Tamandua tetradactyla: one gene and its partners. The protein of the gene in region 1 purifies or fractionates together with the protein of each later gene. This does not show direct contact. Links are inferred from orthologs where the notes say so. Each region holds a gene or a part of one and is shown in the gene's direction. Other genes may lie near its edges. The genes, in order: AKAP11, PRKAR1A and PRKAR2B.

The links.
Region 2: the proteins of AKAP11 (region 1) and PRKAR1A purify together in Homo sapiens (affinity purification with mass spectrometry; 3 studies listed by BioGRID and IntAct, counting the BioPlex papers as one, with this or other methods). This does not show direct contact. The link is inferred for Tamandua tetradactyla from reciprocal best matches to the Homo sapiens genes AKAP11 and PRKAR1A.
Region 3: the proteins of AKAP11 (region 1) and PRKAR2B purify together in Homo sapiens (affinity purification with mass spectrometry; 3 studies listed by BioGRID and IntAct, counting the BioPlex papers as one, with this or other methods). This does not show direct contact. The link is inferred for Tamandua tetradactyla from reciprocal best matches to the Homo sapiens genes AKAP11 and PRKAR2B.

What each region holds. Positions count from the first base shown.
Region 1 is NC_135330.1:116,862,724-116,870,572, reverse strand, and holds the start of AKAP11 (A-kinase anchor protein 11), read left to right. Parts: upstream 1-4,575; 5' UTR 4,576-4,965; intron 4,966-5,301; exon of another isoform or gene 5,302-5,414; intron 5,415-5,487; exon of another isoform or gene 5,488-5,506; intron 5,507-7,849. UniProt on the Homo sapiens protein: Binds to type II regulatory subunits of protein kinase A and anchors/targets them.
Region 2 is NC_135332.1:9,211,038-9,219,407, forward strand, and holds the start of PRKAR1A (cAMP-dependent protein kinase type I-alpha regulatory subunit), read left to right. Parts: upstream 1-5,364; 5' UTR 5,365-5,532; intron 5,533-5,781; exon of another isoform or gene 5,782-5,938; intron 5,939-8,370. UniProt on the Homo sapiens protein: Regulatory subunit of the cAMP-dependent protein kinases involved in cAMP signaling in cells.
Region 3 is NC_135327.1:145,801,807-145,809,668, forward strand, and holds the start of PRKAR2B (cAMP-dependent protein kinase type II-beta regulatory subunit), read left to right. Parts: upstream 1-4,797; 5' UTR 4,798-4,829; coding exon 4,830-5,136; intron 5,137-7,862. UniProt on the Homo sapiens protein: Regulatory subunit of the cAMP-dependent protein kinases involved in cAMP signaling in cells. Type II regulatory chains mediate membrane association by binding to anchoring proteins, including the MAP2 kinase.

The sequences.
Region 1 (7,849 bases):
AGACAATCAAACAAACTCTTCTTTAAGGGTGGAAATTGTATTTTTTTTTACCACTTCAATCTTATATTTCCATTTTATTTCTCCCTACAGAATTTTATCCTAACAGAATTTATACTTGAAGCTTTTTTATTGATCACCCCATTATAAAAAAATAGATATAAAAATAAGTTAAAGTAAAAAGACTTTTTAATTTTCTATCAGTGGAAGGCTCTAACATGCTAGAATCACCTTCTGGATTGTTAACCCTACACCTACTATTAGAATACTGGCGCACAAAACAACATCAATATGGTATAAAGTCTGATAATTATTAAGTATAACAAATTTTATTGAAAGTACTTTTCTTATGAGAAGGAAGTGGCTTTCAAAAAATTAGTTCATTTATCCACAGATGAGTATTATTGATTACCATGAGATAGACTCCAACATCAATTCTATTTCTATTCTCCACTCCATACATATAAATTCTGACAAACCATTAACACTTAAGTAAATAGAAAGAATGGAAGTTTCTTACAGCAATCTCACACAATTTTTTGAACTCCTTCCCAGTTAGATGCCAAAAGTACAAAGTAATTGTTCACTAAAAATTAATTATTTTTAGTGGTCTATTTGGAGGAAACTCAATTAGAGTCTCCTTCAATTTCATTAAAAGCCAGTAATTGGAAACCTCTTGACTTGCAAAGACTATTACTTATAGCTGGTATTCTTTCACTTAGAACATCCTTGGTTAATGTGACATACTCAGAAAAGATTGGAGAAATAGTAATACTGTTAATTTTAACACACCTTTGCCTATATAATACATTCTGATAAAAGCATATTTTTTTGAGAAGGAGAACGTTTTACCCATACCTTGACAGATATCGGTCTGAGGACATGCAGAGGCAGGCATGATAGTAGTAGTGAGTTAATATGACTTCATAATGTTCTGAAGACTAGGGATAACTGGATGTCATGAGACTCCATCCCATCTTCATGTTTTCATTCATCAATTCATTCACTCATTTATTCAATGAATAGTTTCTGAGCATCTACTACTTGCCAGGCACTGCTAAGCAAAACAGTTGTGGTCCCTACTCACAGATCCTACAGTCTAGTGGAGGAGGGAGACAGGCATTAGCTAAATAATCTCACAAATAAAAATCATTATAAATTGTGATCATACTTTGAAGAAAAAGTAGGAAGTCTAGATAAGGGGGAAGTTTACTTAATCTGGGGAGTTAGGACAAGAGTTCCCGAGGAAAGGAAAGTAGATTGAAAGTTAAATATTCTTGGATGTTCACAGGCTAATGGGGATGGACAGAGAAAGGACATTCCATACAGTCTGAATAGCTTGTGAGAAGGCTCTGAGGCAGGGAGGGGCTGGCCAAGTTTTGAGGAGCTGAAAGGAGAGTCTGAGGAGCAGAAGGATATGAGAGGAAAAGACAATGTTAGGTAGATCACAAGAACCATAACAAGCCATCAGAAGATTTTAAGCAGGGGAGTGCTACGGTCAGGTGTGAGTTGCTTGAGAAGAAATGCCAACTCTCTGAGGATAATACGTACATACTTCAAACAACAGGAAAAAATGACAAAGTCTAGGAGCAAAGTTATGTCTTAGGAAAAGAAATATGGATTTTTGTGAACTGACTAAATGTAATGTCTTGTATTTTTAAAAATGTTTTTATTGACAACATACACAAACATTCTTAACACACAAACATTCCATATATGGTGTACAATCAATGGCTCACAATATCATCACACAGTAGTATATTCATCACCATGATCAGTTCTTAGAACATTTGCATCACTACAGAAAAAGGAACAAAAAGAAAAAAGAAAACTCATACATACCATACCCCCTACCCCTCCCTCACACTGATCACTAGTATTTCCATCTACTCAATATATTCTAACTTTTTGTTCCCCCTATTATCCGTTTTTTTATTCATATTTTTAATTCATCTGTCCATACCCTAGACAGAGGGAATATCAGATGCAAGGTTTTCACAATCACACAATGTCTTGTATTTTTAAGGGATTAAAAAGAATAAGCAACACCTGCATAAACTTGTACTACAAATGTTCATAGCATTGTTTTTCATTTTAGCCAAAAAGTGGAAACAACCCAAATGCCCATTAACTGATAAAGATAATAAAATGTGGTTTATCAATACAAAAGAATTTTATTGGAGAATAAAAAGGAATACAGACACATGCTACAACATGGATGACCCTTGAAAACATTATACTAAGTGAAAGACATAAAAGACGATATAATGCATGATGCCATTTATATGAAATGTATAGAATAGGCAAATTTATGGAGCCATAAAGTAGACTAGTGGTTGCTTAAGCCTGGGAGTGGTTGAGGGATTGACTGCTAATAGGTACCAGGTTTCTTTTAGGCTGGACAAACGGTTCTAAAGTTAGATTGTGGTGATGGTTGCACACTTCTGAATATACTAGAGAACATTTAATTGCACACTTTAAATGGGTAAATTGTAAGGTATGTGAATTCTATCTCAATAAAGCTTTTTTTTTTAAAGAAAATTTTAAAAGCAACTGGAGCTAGGGACATCCGTAGAAATGAGTCTCATTTCTTCATATTCTCTTGACTCCAAAGAACTGTAGAAGGAGAGAACACCATGACTGTCCTGCTGGACTGAGTTGGGGGAATTTATGCCTCTTACTTGAATGGTAGAGTTGAACTCCACTGATCATCTAAATTAACAATACTAAGCAGCTGTTTCAGTTAATCATTAATGAGGGCTCTAAAAGAGACTCAAAAAAAAAGTGCCTGATTAGCATTTCAAAAGAATGGTCTTAATTTGTTGAAATACTTTTTTCTTTCTTTCTTGTTTTTTTTTGTTTTATCATTCTCCCTTTTAAAAAATGACCTGTTTCTTGATTTCTTGCTCTCATTAAAATTGATATTGTCTCCGATTTTTTTGACATTTATTTTCCATTTACTTCTTTAAACTCTGATTAGGAACATGTGAATGATAATTCATAAAATAATACTTAGGTTTAAAATAGCTACAGAGAAAGGGAATATGAGGTTGAGCAGGTGGCAATGCTTACGTTTTCACACTCTGAGGTGGCCAAGGTTTCTTAGGGAAGTATTCCTGGTATCTGTATTAATCAGTTTCATAATTCCTCAGCTGGTGTGCGTGTGTCTAGTTTCATTTGGCTTGTGCTGCTGGCTCTGTTAGATTTTTATAAAAATTCATTGCACTTTCCTTTCCAGCTTCCGTCCTACTGGTGTGTACTTGCCAAAGTGTAACCAAGGCTTCACCCTGCTGCCGGTAGGCCAGTTAGAGTGCCTTGTTTTATGCATGAGGAAGCTGAGACTCAGGGAAGATAAGATCCTCTGATTTAGTTGCGTCACTAGTTAATGACAGGGCATGGAGTTGGAACTCAAATATTCAGATTCCTGTTTCTTGTAGTTGCACACTCTTGATTTTCCAACCTTCAACCTCAAACTTTTAAAATCATACACTTAGGAACAAGTACCTACATAGAACATCACTTTATGTTCCTGTATCTTAGAATTGACCTGTGCGGGAATCTGCGCGGAGGGAAAAAAATCAGGGTAAAAAATGGCTTTTTTTTTTTTTTTTGGTTGCTACTTGTTGCAAGTAATAATAAAAAAAAGTCCCCACTTTTTCTCCTTTTTTAAATACCAATAAGTCATGCTTTATCAATGCGTTTTAAACAAAAGTTAGGAAATAACACCAGGACTTCTAATCTGAAGGTTTGTAAAAGAGGAATGTCAAGGTCATTGGAAATTAAGATTGTCACCAGTGGCTGTCACCCAGACTACAAATCTTCGAATTGATCTCCCTGCATTCTGCTCTGGGCGCCTTAAGATCCATTCTCTGCTAGAAAGAGCTTCTGAAAAAATGTAAACCCTACTTAAAACTCAAAAATGCTTTCCATTCTTTCTTGACCTACAAAGCCCTACAGGATCTGCCTCATGTTTACCCCTCCAAGCTCATTTCCTCTTTCTCATTTTTTCCTCCTCAAACCTACTAGAACAAGTCCCAATTTAGAGGCTTTGAAAGCTCTTTTCTTGCGTGAAATATCCTTCCCTTTGATTTTTGCATGACTATGATTCAAACTGTTTAACTATCTCCTCCTCAGAAGGGTCGTCCCTATTGTAGCCATCCAATCAGTCACCATCACATCGCCTACTGTAATTTCTTCTCATAGCAATTGACACCGACAGATAATTTTTCTATCTTTTTTCTCCCCTTCAGATACGCGTCCTAGAAATTAGGTTATTACAATACGTCATCATCGTTGCTCAATCGACAGCCTAGAGTCGTGCCTAGATATTTAGGAGCGCCACACAAACAGGGCAGAACATGAACCATAGTGAGGATACGTTTAAAAATATATTTCTCATCCGTCAGGTAATTCCACCCTTGAGGAATAGGTGCCCTAGTCAGGTGCAACCTGACTGAACCGGTCCTTCCATTGTAAGCATTCCGGCTGTTTAAAGCGTATCAGCTTTCCTCTAGGGCCGGGCTTCTCCGTGGCCAAACGCCTTTCGTTCCGCTTTCGTGACCACGTAAAGGAGAAAAGGAGAGCACTAGGGCCCGGTGATCCCTGGATGCTAACTCCTTCGGCTAGGATAGGCCAAGGGCCCGGTGCGCCCTCAGTGGTCCTCCCTAGAGATGCTGGGGAGAAGGGGCGGGGCTACCCTGAAAGGATGGGCCCTTCCTTGGACCGTCAGATCTGGTAGGACTGTCGATTTTGGCAAACCCCGGAGCGTCACAAGAAAGCAAAGTTGACGTTGAGGCTAAGAAGATGCCCCGCTGGCCTAGGGGGTGAGATTAAGGGGTCGAAGGAAAAGACACTAGGCCGAAAAACGAACCTGCGGAGAAGAGCCGAGGCCGAGGCTTTTTGCAAGAGCAAAGGGTTAAACCGTTTCCAAGCCAACGGACTAGGAAGCACGCGAGACGTCCGCCGCAGGTTCGTAGGTCAGCCTCGAGTTTAAAGCTCCCACGGCTGAGCGGGCTTCGGCCAATGAGAGGCCGTCTCCATATCACGTGACTGGCAGGGCCGGTCCGGTGGTTAGCTTCGAGCACGTGGGAAGCGTTCTCCCTGTTGCTTCTTTCCTTTATCGAGAGCCCACCCACTTTTGCGCGGGCTTGGCCACGGTGTTCTTCTCGCGAGAGGCGTGCATTCACGCGAGAGTGGGTGGGAGGCGTGGGCCGTAGGCAGTGCTGCGGTCAGGCGCGGCTGCAGCGGAAACCCAGGGGGTGGGCTGGGCTGGGCTGAGCGGGGGCGGGCCGCTGGGTGGGGAGGGGGAAGGCTGGGAGCCGGTGCGGGAGGGGGCTCCCTCTTGCTCGCCCCATTCGCGCGGCTGGTCGTTGCAGGCCGGTGACATGCTTGTGAGCTGCGGAGGCTGCGGCCCCCAGGTGAGCCGGGAGCGGACCGCCCGCGGCGCAGGCGGCAGGTTGAGGGGGTAACGGCTGTCTTTGGGGTCGGAGTGGATGGAGCCGCTTTGCCGGTGCGTGTTCCGGTTCGGACCCGCTGGAGAGCTGCGTCTTCTCACGGCGGTGGGAGGAGGGCGGTGGGAGCGAGGCGGAGGGAGGACGCCAGAGGCACGCGGCTGTGTGGGGGACCCTGGCGTTCGGGCCGTGGCCGTGGGGCTGCTGTCCCTTTGAATGACAGATTCAGTTTCCATCCCCGGCGTGTTTGTCAGAGTCGGGGCTTCTCTGTGAGTACCGGTGCGTGTGTTTTGTTTGTGTCGTGTGCATTCACGAGGAGCGTATGCACGAGAAGGACATTGCACTTTGTCCCCAGTCAGCGCATCCTTCACTGTCAGAAGCCCTGCGCTCTGGAACCAGGCACAGCCCAAATCTTATGACTGAAACGGAAGGCGTCAAGTAGCTCATCAGAGTACTGACGTTTGGATTTGCTTTAAAATTCTCTCATGCCGTTAGTGGCCTAAATGTAGGCCATCCAGTATTGTGAATGGGCTGTGTATACTTGTATTCCAGGCATCTAAGCTGCCTTCTTTCTCTCTTTCTCTATGTGTAGATATATATATATATATATGCATATAAATACATATATATATATTTGTAGATATAACCAAACTGAAAAAAAAGCTCAAACATTGGCAAAAGGACAAATGACAGTAAAGTCTAAACTCCACAGTGATAGAACTTGTTAGTAATTCTTTTCCTCTCCTCTTAAGCCTTATTAGATTGAGGTGGTTTATCTTGAAATATTGAGGAATTTCAAGATGACAAATATTGCTGAGATGCATATTTAATGGCCTCAGTGCAAAACAAACTTCACATTTCTGATTCTCTTTCTGCTTTTGTAATTATTTGGTCAGTACCTTGCAGAGCACCTAAGTTGTCCCTAGCTTCTCCCCACCTTTATTTTGATATGTCTGAAAATATTCGGAAAATATTGGCTGCTCAGTAATACAGAGAAGATTTTGTTGTAATACCTTGTTTATAATTTTTGAGTAAATGCCCAGCACTTACTGGTGTCAGTTAAAATAGTGCAATTTAATGAATCTTTTTTATTACACAGTCATGCTCATTCAAGCAGTTATTTGTTATTCATGTATTTCTTGAGGCAAAATGTGACCCCAGGGATGACACTGAATTTCATGATTGGTTGTAACTGTAATAGGGTAGTTTTTGAGAGATCAGAGTGTGTAAGAGATTTAGGAAAGAAGTGGATACTTAAGTGGAGTTGGTAACTCACATCTGGTGAATATACTCTGAGTTGGTAACTAGTGACTGGTGCATATATTCGTGTATATCCCCATTGAACTGCACTATTGATGAGAGCCTGCCTAGGGTTATATTCCTAGGACAGTGATATTTCCAAGTTGTTCAGGATATAGGAGTTGCCAAAACCAGAGTGAGAAATTCTCTAGCTTCTGAACTCCCGGAGGAAGTCTAGAAACTAAAGTATTCCCTTGCCTTCAGAGGCTGGAAAAAGCGTAATGCTTCAAAAAAAATTTTTTTTTAAGTTTTAGGAATTACTATCTAGGTAAGGAAATCAAACTAATTCAAATGGTACATTATAGGTAATTCTAAAGGAAATTTCCACTTATAAGTGGGCAGAAGACTTCTCCCGAAACTTGGCCAAACATGAAAAACTTAGGAAATTTGCGAATGGGCAAAAGTACTCAATCTAGATTAGAAAAAGTTCCCTCCCATTCCACCATTGCAGACTGATTCCAGAGTTAGAAAAATAGAAGCTTTGCTGTTCTTTATCTTTTGGTTTCAAACTTTTAGAATGTAGATACTTGTTATTTTGTCTTTCTTTGAAAAGTGTGAGGTAACTTTGGGGAGAGTAGGTTGGTAAGCTGGTTAATTTTTTTCTGTGGAGTGGACTGCATTTTGGTAATAAAGTAAAACACTGGGAGAGAATGGGGGGTAAGGACAGCTGAGGAAAAGATCTGTTTAGCCTGCGCTTAAGTGAAGGGTGTATAAACTGATATGTGGGGAAGAGGAAGGAAAATACATTATCAATTTAAATATAGACTCGGCAGATCCGAATGTCTTCATTCTTCCATTCATCCTTATATATAAAAGTTCATTTTATTTTTAAATATTTACTGGTGTAAAGGCAGTTTTATACAAAGTTAACATTTTTTGATTAGTCTGGGAATGATGCATGGGAAAAAGAAGAAAAATGTTGTCGTGACTTAGGATAGAGATGATGTTCCTTGTGTGAAAATGAGTTTAAGTGTGAAATTTTTGTTTGGGCTCATACAGATTAGTTAATTACCATAACTGTGCTTCATTTTCCTCATCCCTGAAATGATAGTTGTCACACCCACTTCAAAATGTTATTGTGGGGAAAAAAATGTTATTGTGAA
Region 2 (8,370 bases), on another chromosome or scaffold:
ACGTGGAAAACCAACTCCCAGAATATTCCCTCCCTGGTGCTTGTCCAACAGTGCTATCTTTCTGTCATCTCCTTCTCTCCTAGTTTGCTGCCTACTTTCTCAATGTAGCTTCTGGATCTGCTTCCTTCCTTTTTATTTCATTGTTGAATTTCCTCATCTTTCTGTACTTAGCCACCTTCTCTTCCCTCTCAGCCCTTTCTCCTAGAAGAGATTTCATTCAATTCAAGGATTTTGTAATCAATATGCTGATGATTTCAAAAGCCCTTTGCTCTTTCTTGAGTTTCCCACTAGCCAGAAAACACACAGCTCTGCATGGATGTCCCACAGACCCTCAAACTCAACGCATCCCCCATTTCACCCACCCTCACTGCACCGCCTGTTCTCTGAATTGGTAAATGGCAGCAGCAATGATTCATTGCCTGAGTCAGAACCTCAGTGTCATCTTTGAGTCCCTTCTCTCCCTCATCATCCTCATCGATCACAAGCTCCAGTCACCTGTGCTGAAATTTTTTTAGTTTAAGCCACCACCATCTCTCACTTGGACCATCGCAACAACCTTCTCACAAGTCTCCTTGCATGGAAGGATATTTTCTTTAAAATTCCGTGCTGTCTTGTGAAACCATTGCCCTCCCCCCTACATGGAGCATGACATCCAGGAATGAAAGTCTCCCTGGCGGCATGGGAGATGACTCCCAGGGATGAGTCTGGCTCTGGCATTGTGGGATCAACAAGGCCATCCTGATCAAAAGAGGGAAAAGAAGTGTAACAAATAAGGTATCAGTGGCTGAGAGAGTTTAAATAGAGTGGAGAGGCTACACTGGAGGTCACTTTTATGCAAGCTTCAGTTAGACATTGCTACCTATCATAATTTGCCAACCCCCAACGAAAACCATTCCTACCAAGCCTAAAGAATACCTAGGACATTATATAAGATTCTACAAAAGTTCCATGCACTAGGTTAACTTTCCAGAAACCTACAACCTCCAGATGGGTCCTGAAATGCAGAGGGCTAGCCTTTTCAGAACATCAACTAGTTCCATCCCCCATCCCATATTATTGACAGAATAATAACCTTCCAACACGGAAAAGTTAGAATGGGCATAGCCCAAACACTCCTAGAGAGAGGGAGAAAGATCAAAGGTGACAAGTGGAGTTATACAGACAAGGTAGGGTTTAACAAATGAGTATGAGTGCAGAATCATTATATTGCTATTTCTTTCAGCCTTCAGTACCTTAGAGCAGCTAGAAATAAAACCCTAAAATTGTAGAATTGTAATCCAAACCAAACTCTGAAATCTGTTCTACAACTAATTGTTATGATGTACTTTGAAATTGATTGTTTTTTTTTGGAATATATGCTATTTTTCACAAAAACAGAAAGAAAAAAAAGAGGAGGATTATAACAGAGAAGATAGGATTTAACAAATAAGCATGACTGCTGAATCATTACCTTGATATTTCTTTTGGTCTCCAGTGTCTTGGAGCCGCTAGAAGAAAAAATGAAAAAACCGTGGAACTGTAACCCATAGCAAAGTTTGAAATTGGTTCTATAACTACCTGTTAAAATGTGCTTGGAAATTTATTACTTTATCGTATATATGCTATATTTCACACACACAAAAAAAATTAAAAAAAACAACAACACCCCGTGCTGTCTGTTGCTCATTCAGTTCCTCTTCCTGAAATACCAGCCAGGTATGATGGGTACCACTGGGTCCTGGGTTGGGCAGCATGCCTTGGCCCTATAAGTCCTTTCAGTGCACACCTCTAGCTCCCCCTCCACACCCCCATAGTAGGACTCCCTCTATTGAAAGTACCTGTGTCCGTAGTGGCCCCCCAAGACCGTGAGCTTTTGTGTGTGGGGCCTGGTTCATTCACCTCTGTGTCCCTGACACCTAGTACCTAACATATGGATCCTCAGGAACTTCATTTTTTAAAGGGATTCTGAGTCCATGCACGGATGGGCTTTAGGATCTGTGAACCCCCTGATGTGCATTTGCATATTTTCTGGGGGGAAAGCCCATTGTTTTCATGAGCTTCCTCAAGGTGACCAAGTCCAAAAAAATATTAAGACTTCCCGGAAGAGATAAAGGTGTGCGGTCATTGAAGTGCTGAGAGTGGTAAATTAACAAGATTGTTCACTTTGTCAGTTTGACAGAGATAAATACATTTCTTTCTCTTGGTCAATGTGCCTACCATTCATGGTAAACCTCAAAAGGTTTGAATGGGTGATAGGCCCATCACTATATATATTTATATATTTATTTTTTACATGGGCAGGCACCGGGAATCAAACCCGAGTCTCCAGCATGGCAGGCAGGAGCTCTGCCACTGAGCCACCGTTGCCCCCATCACTATATATTTTAAAGCTTCAAATCTGTGACCTACTAACAAGCCGTTAACATTGGTTAAACAGCATAAGCATAGGAGGTCGGTATCCAGAGGAAGAACATGTCAGCATAGATTCATACAAATATCTGAACTTGACTTCATTCACTCTCCTTTGAACACTGCGGATTTCATCGTCTATCTTGGGATGAAGGTAATTTTGCTTGGAGCACTCTTCAGTGTCAGACTGAAGATCGTCATCCTTCTGGTTTCTTCGTTAATATTTTCAATTAGTCCTCAAGATAAACTACTCCTACTCAGTCTAGAGAACCATATACCATTGAGAAAAGTAAGAAGACTCTGGGCCTTTGATGGTTTGCTGGAAATGGTTTACGTATGATGTCACAACTTTGGGTCCCCTGGGATGATTGACAACTCAGCACCAGCACATACCACAGAAGGGCAGGCACAATGAAAGGCTCTCTGTGGAATCTGAAATACGTGGCTCTATTCTGAGCCCACAGAAACTTTAGGCACAAGAAACACTACGAGATGAGCCACCAAAGTGTTCCTTTTATCTTTTTGTTCTCTTCATTCTGCTTCTGCTTACTAAATGTACCACTGATGTTTATTTTCCTTAGATCTTTTTTTCTATTGTTGCACAAACATCATAACAGCAATTAGAGAACTTGAACAGAGAAAAATTTACTTACAATCTCACTGCCCTAAAAACTTATGTTTGGAACTCTTCTAGGACCCAGGCCAAAGGAAAGGCCAACAGACCTTCGCATTTTGGTCAGAAGGCCTCTGGAGGAGGGAACCATACAGAAACAACAGTGGAATAATTGTAATTTCTGAAGTGTAATTTACAAGTTGGTATTCTCGAAAAGGCATAGAAAGGCCATTCACACCTTTTGGAACCCACTGAGGCAGTTTGGTGTTTCAGAACAGCTGTCTCGGTGAGCTTCCCCATGCTCAGTACCTACTGCCGTTTCCCTTTTTGTCTTTTAAAGCCCCGGCATATGAGGGTTTGGCAGCTGGAACAAAGCTGAACTGGACTGACACATGGAAGCTGCCTGTGGCTGGACAGGTGCCTAAACGCAGCTGAATAGAGACACACATCCAGGCCTTAGCAAGGGAGCAGCTGCCACTCAAAGCCCGCCCCCCACCCCCCATGTCATGAACTTGCTTCTTTTCCTTATTCTGTTTGACTGCCTCGGGAAGGAACATGAGTGGTGGGACACAGTACAACTCAGTCTCAACCTTGGGGTTTGGGTACTTCTCTAGGATTGGGGGAGGACGAAGTGGGAAGTAAACTAACATTTATTTAATGCACCTCACACTTGTGTGAGGCAATTTATTTACCTACATACTGCAAAGGGGGCAATTAAGATCACTGCCTGGGCTTGGGCCATGCTACCAGTGTGAACTTGAGCAAAGTCATTTAACTTCTCCATGGCTCCTGTTCATTCCCTAATGATAATTCCTACATCATAGTGTAATTATGAGGATTAAATGAATTATGTGTAATAATAGCACTTAGGCTGTGCCTAGAACTTGCTGAGGGCTATAGCTATGTTTGCCGTTATTATCTTCTTTAGTTCATTTTACTTTAGTCCTGCGTTTCCTTTTACAACTGAGGAAACTGAGGCTCATGGAGATTAAATCAATTACCGGAGATGGCAGAGCCTGAGATGAAACTCAGATTTATATAAGCGCAATGTTTTCTTCCGAGGACACAACTGGGCCTGCTCAGGGCTTTGGAATTCCCTCTCCTGCTTGCCAGCCTAAGGTTCAGTTTGTCAGCCTCCTCTTCGTACTGACAAGGCGGAAATCCGTTCTGATGGAGGCTGTGCCTTTAATGCCCCATTCCACCAGCGCCCATTTGGTTAAAGCAGTGCCTGGGAAAAGGCCAAAGGTCAACATAGGGGAGGTCAACCGCCCGGCCCTGGGCCCTTTTCAAATTACATTTGCTCCCCCTGGACGTCAGCAAGTAGGGTAACCTTAACTAAATAAAACACTCTGGGCAGCTGGACCCTTCCCTAGGTCTGATGGATTTAGGGGCAGTTGGTGTCCTAGGACTGTTCTATGGAGCAGAAATATACCACCAGACACATACATAATTAAATATTTCTAACACCTACTATTAAAAAAATAAATGACAAAGGTGAAATTATTCTGATATTTAACCTAATATATCCCAAATATTATCATTTCAACCTGTAATCAATGTAGAAATGGACATATTTTACATCGTTATTTTTTATGACGTGTTAAATCCGGTGTGTATTTTATGCATAGGGCTCTAAAGCACAGCAGACCCCCACCAGACACTTGGATACAGGTCCTCAAAGAGCCTTTATTCACACTAGCGACTTGATATATCTAAAACGATCTCCTCTCCCCCATTTTCTTCCACCATGGGCAGGTATTCTGATGGCAAGAAATGGCTGAAGGAGGAAAGAAGTCGCTTTTTGCCTGAATCCCCACCCATTAGTGTAGTGTTTGCGGGCAGCAGAGATTTCTTGCGTGCTCACCGAGCATATGTGACAATCTGCACGGTTATGTCTCACCGTGTGCGGGCTGGCACGATAATGGGGGGGGAAGCATTTCAGATTCTAGAAGGTTCTTGGACCCTGACAAAGTCCTCTCCTGTGCCCGTGTCCATAGGGACGATGTGGCCTCCACTGACGACAGCACTTGAGAAGGGGACAGCAGCCCAACAGCCAAGCAGGGAGCTGGCACGGCTCAGATTTCCTGGACCGGATGGCGCGCCGGACCCCGGAGCCCCGCGCGGCGCTGGCCGGGCACAGGATGCACGACTCAGCGTGCGCATCCCAGGCATCCGCCCGCGCTCGGCCCGCGGCGCAGCTGCTGCGGATCCTCCGGGGCCGCGGCCTCCCCCGGCGCCTGGAAATGGCAGGAATCTCCCCGCCCCTGGCCCCGCGCCCCCCCCCCCCCCCCGCGAGCAGGGGCCGCGGGGCGGAGTCGCCCATCTGTCGTCCGAGACGCCCTACGTGGGTCGGTGGGGGGTTGCAGGGAGGGAGACAAGGGAGAGACGTCGAGGGAGGCAGGAGGGAGAGAGTGGGGAGCAGAGGAGGAGAGCGGAGACGAAGGGAGAGGGAACCTCAAGGAAGCCACGCGGAGAGGGAGCGAAAGCAAAAGAAAGAATAAAGGCGACCTGAGACGTCCAGAGAGGGACAGGTAAGGGAGGGCAGGTGAACAGGAAGGAGGGGAAACTGGAATAGTGAGAGTGGGTAAGAGGGAGAGACGGGATTGAGGAAGGGCTGCAGATAAGAGATGCAAAGAAGTGGAGCAGAAGGACACCGATTCCAGGGTGAGGAGGGGCGAGCGTCCTTCAAGGAGGGGGGCAGGGGGTAGAACCCTGGCGCTGCGCCTTTAAGGTTGCCAAGGCGACGGCTCTGGCCAGAGCGAGGCGCATTGACGTCAGCAGTCAAGCGCTGATTGGCTGAGGCCCGGTAGTTTCCGGTGGCGCTGCAGCGGAGGCGCTGTCGCTGAGCGGAGCTCGGCAGGGAGGGAAACGTTGAGGAAGCTCGGCGCGCCTCAGCCTCGCATCCTTAGCTCCGTAGTCGCTGCCACTAGGCCTCAGGTGAGTGGGGTCGGTCGGGAGCTCCGGCGCAGCGAGCCTTGCCGTCCTTTCGCCCGTTTGGGAGCGCGGGACCGATCCAAGATGGCGTCTCGGGGAGCGACCTGCTGGGGGACGGCCGCACCCCCTGCTTCTCCCAGGCCCGGCAGGCGCCTCCCCGGAGACCCTGCGCCCCAGGCCGCCCCCCCCCCGGCTCCCATTCTGCATCCCCCGAGGCCCCCAGGCCGCCGGGGCGTTGGCTCGGTTGCTGGGCTCCCCTCCCGCCCCGCCCGCGCGTCCCCCGCCCCCCTCCGTCTCCGCAGCGCCTGGGTCCCGCAGCCCCCGCAGCCCCCGCCATCCACCGCCTTCCTCGGCTCTGGACGCTCCAGTGTCCTCCGCCTCCGCGCACCGCGGCGTCCTTGCTAGCCTTCCCCCATTTCCTGACGGTCAGCGGCTCGATTTTACCGGAATTCGCCATCGTCGTTCCCCCGCCCTCCCATTATGGCTGATATTGAGACTCGTCAACTCTTTTCTTGCCTTCTGTGTCTCCTTCCATCTTTTCCAGCATTCGCTTTCCCTTTCTTTCTCAGGATTAGCCTCCACCCATCCCCACCCCCATGATGAGATGTGATCATAGCCTGGCTTATAAATTTCCTTTTGTCCTCCACCACTTCCCTTTCCCGATTTTTTTCCCTGAGACCTCCTCGACACCCCGACTAAAGAAGGAAGAGAGGTGGGCCTCCCTTCTTCGTTTTGTGGTCATCATGGTGACATAAGTGAAGCGAAGGGCACATTTCTGTCCTTCCCTTTGAAAATACGCGATAGCCATTAACCCCTCCAGCTCGGTGTCTGTGTGGTGCCACAAGAGATAGAGCCGTTCAGCAGAGGAAGGAAAGCGAACGCTTCCTCAAGATGACCCCAAGAAAATGTGTAAGGGAGTGCGGTCTGAGTCAGGAACAGTTTCTCAGAATATTTTAAATATTTCCTGGCATGTAATTGTTTTTGTAACCGAATTTTATCGCAACTGAATTTCCAGAAGAAAGAGCTGAGTGTGTCCTTATGTGTAAAAGCATAGTGCGTGTTTTAAAGTAGTTAAGTAATTTGCCGGAGTTTCTAAGTTATTGGGGTCGTAAAGATAAGTATACGTACAGAGTTAATGTAGGTATATTCCGTTAAAAATATTAAGATCATAATGTTTGGGTATTCAGAGATTCACATGTTGGCTGTATTAATCTTGAGACATTTTCAGTCATATTCTTTTTTACCAGTATTGTCTTGAAATACCTTACCTTGTTTTAAACAGAAAGAAACGCTTTTACCTCTTGGACCCAGTTCTGTCATCTCTAGCAGCCAAAGACCTGATCTTTGAAAAATAATCTCTCTGATCAGTTGAATAGATGTATTGATATTTCTAAAATATGTCAGACTGTTTTGAAGCATAAAAGATCTGATTAATGGTTGTTCTAAGGTGGCCTTCAATATTGTTTGAAATACCGAAAATCATGCTGAAGTGGATTCTCAGTTCATGTGATTGACCTGGAAAAGTGGCTGGTATAAATCTACCCAAAAATAAATAAACATTTTTTTTTAGAATTGTTTCTGAAGTAGCAGCATCATTCTTTTTCTGTGGCCTCTAATTTATGGGTTTGTTATGGAGCCACAAATTTTCTCATGGTTTGTTTATCAATCTACTTGTTATTGACCTTTATCATGAAAGTTGTTAAAACAAATTGAGTAATTCTTACTCTAGAATTCCTTTCTCCTTTAACATTTATAGTTGTATATCACTAGTTTTTCAATTATAATTGGAAAAATCTGATTAGTATTGAATTCAGTTGTAGAATAGAAGGAACCATCTTCTAATCTTAATTGCTTAGTAATTAGAAGTTAGGAGAAGGAGTTTATGACCCTGCTGTTAAATTACTAAGCTTTTAATTCCATGGTAAGCTGTTCATTATTTTACTTTATTTTACATCAAGGTGGTTCAAATTCTCTGAACTCTATTTTATTAAATGTTTATGTAAGTTTCACATTTACACAAACATTTCAGATGAAGAAAATGTTTTGACATTTTCCTAAGTTTTTTACAATTTACTTGGTACAGGTTTTTTTTTTTTTTTTTTCTTTTTTTGGCTACTAAGGATTTTCCTTCTTTTTCACTGGGTAAGTGTGTTATCATTATGGCTGGGGTTTGGTAAAAGATCCTAGAATAAAAGGTTGCTTTAAAGACTCACCTAGGGTTCATTTTGTGCCTTTAAAAATTTTGATTACTCTGGTGGTTGGCTAATCAGATCCTTTGCTCCAGTGGTTTGCTGTGTGACATTAGGACACTCCCATGGGATAGGAGTGGTGTATAGGGATTGTCAGATGTTCTTCATTTTACTTACTTGCTTTCACTTAGAGCAGACTTGTGTGCCCTTATAACTCTCTCTCCTGTTTACCATTTACACACTTCC
Region 3 (7,862 bases), on another chromosome or scaffold:
TGTTCTCAAAGAGTGGTTCCCAGACTACCACCAGCAGCAGCATCTGAGAATTTGGTATAAATACAAATACTATGGCCCCACTTCAGATATAAAGAATCTAAAACTCTGAGAGTGGGGCCTGGAAATCCATATTTCAACAAGTCTGCTAGGTGATTCTGATGCACACTAAATTTGGGGATTTTCTAGAGACAACCCTTCACAAAGCTGCATTTAGAGATTAAAAATTTTACTTAGTGTTAGGCCAAATGTCTAAAAGATTTTCAGACTATGAATTGACCATCTTTTAGTAGATATGTTACATGGTGCCTGAACCATCCATAGACTCCACGTTTGGGTCTTTTCTCTTTGCTGAAGAGGCAGATCTTGTTCTGTACTACCTAATCACTAAAGGGGATTTATTAAATTACAAGTTTACAGTTCTAAGGCCATAAAAAATCCAAATTAAGGCAGCCAGTGACCAGATGGAAAGAGTCTGGGTCTCTGACAATCATGAAGCCACTATACCAGCCCTGATATGCCTACATTTACATTGCAGAGAAATAAACTTCTATCTTGTTTGAGCCACTGTATTTGCATTTTCTGCCATCTACAGACAACGTTAATCGTAATTGAAACTAGTATGATCATAAAAAAAGAGAGGTGATACAAATTAATCTTAGATAACAGGATCTCTAAAGATAATAATGCATAAATGATGGAGATCTTGACTCTGAAGAAAGGGCCGGATGGCGTTTGGATTTCCTCTGTCACATGGCTGGCATCTGCTGGTCCTTTCTTAGCTTGACTGAGAAAACTCTGGATTTCTTTTCTTAGCTTTCCTTGGCTCTTTCCTTGGCTCTTTCCTGGTTCTGGTTTTTTAGTACCATGGTCCTTGCTTAACATCTCATGGGAAGGTACATGGCAATGTCTGCTGGGCTCTGAATCTCCAAACATCTGTGTCTGTGTCAGCTCTGAACTATTTCTGTGTGAGCTCTTTTAAGGACTCCAGTAAATTAATTAAGACCCACCTTGAATGGGTGGAGTCACATCTCCACCTAATCAAAGGATCACACCCACAATCTGGTGTGTCACATTTCCATGAAAGTAATTTCATCAAATGGTCACACCCTACAATATTGAATCAGGATTGGAAGAATAAGGTTTTTCTGGGGTTACATAACAGTTTCAAACCAGCACAATGGCTAAAAGTATATAAAACTGAACTGATGGCCATAGTGGCCCTGTGCCAGCACAAACCAATATCCTTTCAATTTTCTACCTTTGTGTGTGTGTGTAACCTTGAGCGGGTATATATATATATATATTTCTTGTACCAAAGAGACTTGATCAGGATACATATGAACAACTGATAGGAAACACTGTATGAGTGATTGGTCATAGTTATTACCAGCCATTGTTAAGGCTGCACAAACCAACAGCTTGTCCATGTATATAGATTTGTTTTGGCAACTTCATGTTGCCAAAGACAAGTTGATATCTCTGTCCGGTATCTGCTTAATTTCCCATGTGTGAAAACAAATTTGGTAGTACTCTTATTTCATCCCAACTCTGAGCCCTTGGAGTTCTCTAGCAATGCTTCCAGTGTGATTCTCTGAGAAACTAGTGCAAATTGCTTTGTAAGTCAACAAACAAGGAATCGGTATCATTGATGTTCTTTTAAAGAATTCATGAAGAATAGTCCTCATAAACCACTGTCATTGTACCTCAAGGTTCAAAAGGAAATGTTTTGAAAACAAAAGTAAAAGAAATCATACAATAGCACTGAAAAGGTTATGTGGTAGTGAATAAATCCAGAATATAATTTGAAAAGAAAATGTCGGCTCCAAGAATAATATTAACATAATGGGAATATCGGGATCAAGATTTATTTCTTCAGGTCATGGTTATTGATTTGAGAATTTACACAAATAAATTGTTAGAGAAGTATTTGCAAAGATGTTTAAATCCAACATGTTTTCTTTTAACATTACACTATTGTAGAATATCCCAGACTGGGCGAGGGCATTATTGGTCATCTAATCCAATTATATATTTCATGCTCGAGTCACTGGTATAATACTAAGGAAATGAGAGTCATACAAACCCTGGCATTGTGGTTGATGGCTGAGAGCCATTTACCATTGCTCATATATTTAGTTAACAAAAGGAATAAAATTCATTTTGAAACACAAAATGAAGGATACAGCTTTAAAATATGGCTCTGGTAAATGTTTGGAAAAGCAATGTTTTTTCTTCTGTCATTTATGGTGGAAAAGGTGTTTAAATTTGTGATGGAGATTGAAAATTTTCCCTAGATTTGGTTCTCCTTTATACTCATATATTTACTGGGAACATGACCACTCAAAATGAATATTACATTCCCAAACTTTCCTTAGAGTCATGTGTCTCAGCTACTATTGCCATATAACAAATTACCCCTAAATTTAGAGGCTTACAACAACCTTCTTTTTTTTTTTTTTTAATGCTTATGGATTTTGTGGGTCAGAATTTTGGACAGGATACTGCTGGGCTTGCTGCTTCTATCATGTTGGCATGACTTCTATCATGCTTTACTGACTGAAGCAGTTAGAAACCTATCCAAATTCAAGAGGAAGGGAATTAGACTTAAACTTCTGATGGAGGAATGGCAAGGTTGCATTGTAGAAGAGCACATGGGACAGGAGATATTGTCACAGTCATCTTTGGAAAATTTTGCAATTTACCACACCAGAGGTGTAACCATGTGACTAAGTTCCAGCCAAAAGGATACAAGGAATTGGTGTGTTTAATTTCTGGGAAAAGTCTTTAAAATGTGCGGGTGTATGTGTGTGGGGGGGGCTTTGCAATGGGAAGGTTCCCTTCTCTCTTCCACTTTCCTCTTGGCTGAAATATGAAGATGATTGGAATTGGAGAAGCTATTTTGGACCACAAAGTAGAAGCCACAAATAGGATTACACAGCAATGAGTTGGAAAGAGTCTGGGTCTCTGACAATTATAAAGCCACCATATCAGCCCTGATATGCTTACATTTCCATTACAGAGAAATAAACTTCTATCTTGTTTGAACCACCGTATTTACATTTTCTGCCATCTACACACAATGCTAATCTTAACTGAAACATGTATGATCATAAATGAAGAGAGATGATGCAAATTAATCTTAGATAACTGGATCTGTAAAGATGATAATGCTTATATGATGGAGATTTTGACCAATGTACTCAAAGCAGTGAGATGTAAATATCATGATATTTAATAAAAGCTTATTATCTTCAAACGCCTGGCACTTATAATTAGAGGCATTTACTACGGTTTAAAATAACATATTATTATGAGGTTAATAAGAAATGGGAATGGAGAAATACATTTCCTGAAGGAGTGACTATAAGTTGAATCATAAACAAAGAGTTAATATGAAGATGCATTTTTATAAAAAGGACTAGTTTGTTCATCTTGTTTTCTACTTTTTTAGTTTTCTGAGTCATGTATTTACTCTTTTATGTGGGTGAATACATAAACCAGAATGGGTACTTGAGCTCATTTTTGAGCTATTTTATTTACAATAAAATATTGTTTTTGAGCTATTTTATTTACAATTTTTATAGTGGTCACTATAAAAAATGAAGTATATGCATTTGAATAGCTTTTAAACAGCAAAAGATACTTCTAATTAAAAATTTCAGTCAGGGACTTCTACTTTTCAAGCATATTTACTTGTAGCTATTTCTCTTTATATTGAAGTATTCCTATTTCTGGAGATAAAATTCAAAATCACTCAAAGCAAAAGGGAAAGTCTTAAAATAAATTTTAAATGAGAGCCTAATCAGGCAATGCTTTTTTGCTTTAGGACCATCTGTCCTGTTTATGACATTTTATTCAAATTGCTATACTATTCTGTATAAAGAATATCAACTAACTTTGATAAGTGCATCACAAAAAATGATGCATTTGTCTCAATAAATAGTAGCAAACACACTGCGTGCACAATGGAATAAAATCAGCAAAGCTAAAAAAAAGGTAGACGATGACCAGCGAAAGTTTGGATAAAATGTGGCGAAAGAAAAAGATGAATATTATATTTCTGTCTAAAATAGAACCAGCACTACTATGTGAATTTAAACAAAAGATATTACCAAGATTTATCAATACAACTAAATTATAGGAGAAAAAAAAAATGCCACTACCGAGCTGAAGGCTGAAGTTTCAGGGTAAATCGCTTGTCAGCAGGTCCGGTTGGGTTCACTCGTGAATGACGTGTGGGAATGCTGGCGCGTGAACTGCCCCCTCCGGGGTGTGGACAGGTGGAAGGTGTGACTCGCAGGAGGACCCGGAGCAGTGTTGAGTGGGGACCCCGCACCGGGCACGTTTGCCGCAGAGCGCCACCCGCCCGCCCGGGCCCCGATAGCGCCCTCGACCCTGAGGCTATCCGAGGGACTGGAGCGCGGCGCTCGCCCGCGGTGGTTGCCATGGTTTCTGGAATCACGTGGGCGCGCGTTTTGTTTCCCCCTCCCGCGCGCCTCTGCGAAGCGGGGGCGGGGCGGCTCCGGCTGGGAGAGGAGCGGCGGCGGCGGGAGCGGGAGGAGCCGGAGATGCTGCCAGCCCTCGGCGGGCTTTGCTCGCTCAGCCGCCGCCGCCACCGCCGCACCGAGCTGTTGTAGCCGCGGACCAGGCCAGCCCTGCCGCCGGGGTCCTGTGCGCTGCGCGTAGCTGGTAGCGCAGCTAGCACCCTCCGCGCGCTCTCGGCGGCCGCGGGGCCCAAGGTCCTACTCGGGAGAAGGCGAGGGCGGCGGCCGCCCCCGTTGGGCAGCCCGGGGACGCGGCGCCCAGGCGCCCGCCGCCCCGGAGGCAGGATGAGCATCGAGATCCCGGCGGGGCTGACGGAGCTGCTCCAGGGCTTCACGGTGGAGGTGCTGAGGCACCAACCCGCGGACCTGCTGGAGTTCGCGCTGCAGCACTTCACGCGCCTGCAGCAGGAAAACGAGCGGAAAAGCGCCGCACGCTTCAGCCATGAGGGCAGGATCTGGGGAGACGCGGGTGCCGCCGGGGGCGGCACCCCCAGCAAGGGAGTCAACTTCGCGGAGGAACCCGTGCACACCGACTCCGAAAACGGGGAGGAGAACGACGAGGAGGAGGCCACGGACGCAGGAGCATTCAGTGGTGAGGACGGGATCCCCTCCACGACCCCCGAGTTCCTTCACCTCCTGTACCGTTCTTCGCTTTACTCCTTAATCCTGCAGCTTTCTTCACCTACCTCTCCCTGCATTCTCCACCTGCGCTACCTTCTCATCTCGCCCACCCGCTACCTTCTCATCTCGCCCACCCCCTCAGTATCCATTTCTGTCTCTCCCATTCGCCCACCTTCCTACCCTACTCTCTTGTCATGCTCTACCTTTCTTTTCCTCCTCTGAAGGTGAAGGAGCTGAAAGGTTACGGTTCCCAATGACCATCTGCCCCCTCTCATCCAGAGCAACAGCTGCAGAGATGGGCCGGTTTGGTGTGGGCATCTCATGGGAAGACAGTTTTCTTTGTGGCTGAGGATATTTCGCTTGACGGATAGATTGTGCATAGAGCAAACTGGTTGGCCCCCTTGGTATTCTTTTTCAGTGCTGATATTTCTTAATGGAGCGTCCAAAGAGAAAAGGCGGGGGGTGTTAAATTTGATTGGTTTTACCGTGTTAGACGTAGAATCACTAAAAGAAACATGAAATGGGACTCCATGGGGCAGAACAAAATTTATGGTAATAACTTTGACATTCTTGGAAACAAAGTAATCTGTTATTTTTGGACATACAACAAAGGAACCTGCTTAGCCTGCAATCCATCAGGTCTTTGGCATGAGGAAACGGGCTAATGTTCTGTTTTTTTATTTAAAACACATATTGAACGATTTGGTGCTTTTGAAAAAAATTAATTTTTAAGTACATAAAAAATAGTGAATGGAATTCTGAAGCCTTGTTAGTTGTCTTTAAAATTAAAAGCTAGTGAATAATTGTAAGCACTATGCCAGACACTGAAGCTAAAAAGAATGAATGGGAAATAAGGAATTTTCTCAAATAGCTGCTCCTTTAAGTCCCACCCCTTCTGTTACACCCTACACCCACCCCGGAACACGCAGAAACACACATAGACACACACACATCCTCCTTTATTAATGCATGACTAAATCCCACCTTTTTTGGCATTCTCAAACTACAACACTATGGTGTGTAAATGTGCAAGTGTTTTTCTCTTTGTGGTTGTAAGGCAAACATGCAGGCTTTTATTTATTTATTTGGCTTGTGGTTTGTTGCAGAGCATTTCATATAATAAAAGCATTTAAGGTGTCATTTCATCTCCTTTTGTATGTTCTTAGGAATATGCTTCTTTTCTTTGCAGAAGCACGTGTTGAAATGGCCTTTAAAAATATATTTTTTGCTTGTCTAAAACATTCACACAAACCCTGAAAATTAGTGCTCTATGAGGAATAAAGTCAGGTAGTTACTTTTAGATTTTAATTTTATGTATTTTAGTATTTCCCCAGATAGGGTAATCTTAGTCTTAATTGTTCTTTTTGCATAAGAAATTAGCAAATGCTTTTTTTTTCCCACTAGAAACAAGAGAAAGATAACAGAAAATGTATTTTAAAGAGATGGAAAGAAGCCAATAATGGTTGATAAAAGGGAGAGGAGCCTGATACTTATCTCCTGACACACCCACACATGCATGTGCATCTATACACACACATACACACAGGGGAAAAAACTAGTTTACCAGATTGGAGGGATCTAGGAACTGAGTGAATCAGTAAAAAACCTCTGTACGTTTAATATGATATGTTGTTTGTATGACTAATAATATTTTGTTTGTTGTTTTTGGAGGGTTTTGCATTGATGATTCTATTTTTTTCTTACAATAATGGATATTGTACACAGAACAAGTTCTATTTCTGTGTGCAGGTGAAGAAATAAGCTGTTGACTTTAAAGCAGCAGAGATCATTGTATATGTGTTTATATTCTCCAAGTTACCTTTACTGTAAAAATTACTCAATTTGAGTTTTAATAGATATTTGTTGACCCACTGCACTCTTTATTCCCTAGTCTCTGCTCCCCTGGGAATTTAAAACTTTTTTTATTTCAACCAAATTCAGTTTGATCATAATCCACTGCACGTATCAGTGTACGTATAAATGCATAACTGAACTCTGACAACAGTACCTCCCTCTGCTAAGTGTAGTACTTTCTAATATTATCTATTCTGATCAGTTCTCTCCTTCTAAACAGTCAATTATGTTGAGACCCACAGTTTAAAAAAATAATAATAGGCTACAAAGGGGTTGGCAAAGTTTTTTCTAAAGAGCCAGATAGTAAATATTTTAGACTTTGTGGGTCTGTGGCTTCAGTCGCTTATTCTTCTTTGTGTCGAGGCCATAGTTTGCCTGGTCAAACCCTGGTCAAAGGGGGAAAAAAGTCAAAATGGTTCCACAGGGGAAAAAGATAGAAATGACCCTAGAATTTATAAGTCTGTCAATTTAAAGTCTTTACCTAGAAAGACCAAAACACTAAAAACACCAGTTATACTGTATAATTCTCCTGGCATAGCAAAGAACAAGAACTGGAAGCACACAAGATCTGCTTTATCAATAATTTTTCAATTTTAAGTATGCATACTTGAGGAAGTTAGATTCTGAAGTGAGTATTCACTGGCACCATTCTTAGAGAGCTTTTTAAAATAGGTTAGGGTGGACCATTGAATTTATTTTTTTAACACATTCCTGGTCATTTTGATATAGGTAGTTTCTTGACCATACTTTGAGAAGCATTGGAAGATCAACATATAGTGATAAATTAATATCTTCTTATCTTATTAACAAAAAATAATAGCTGCCATTTATTAACATTCTATG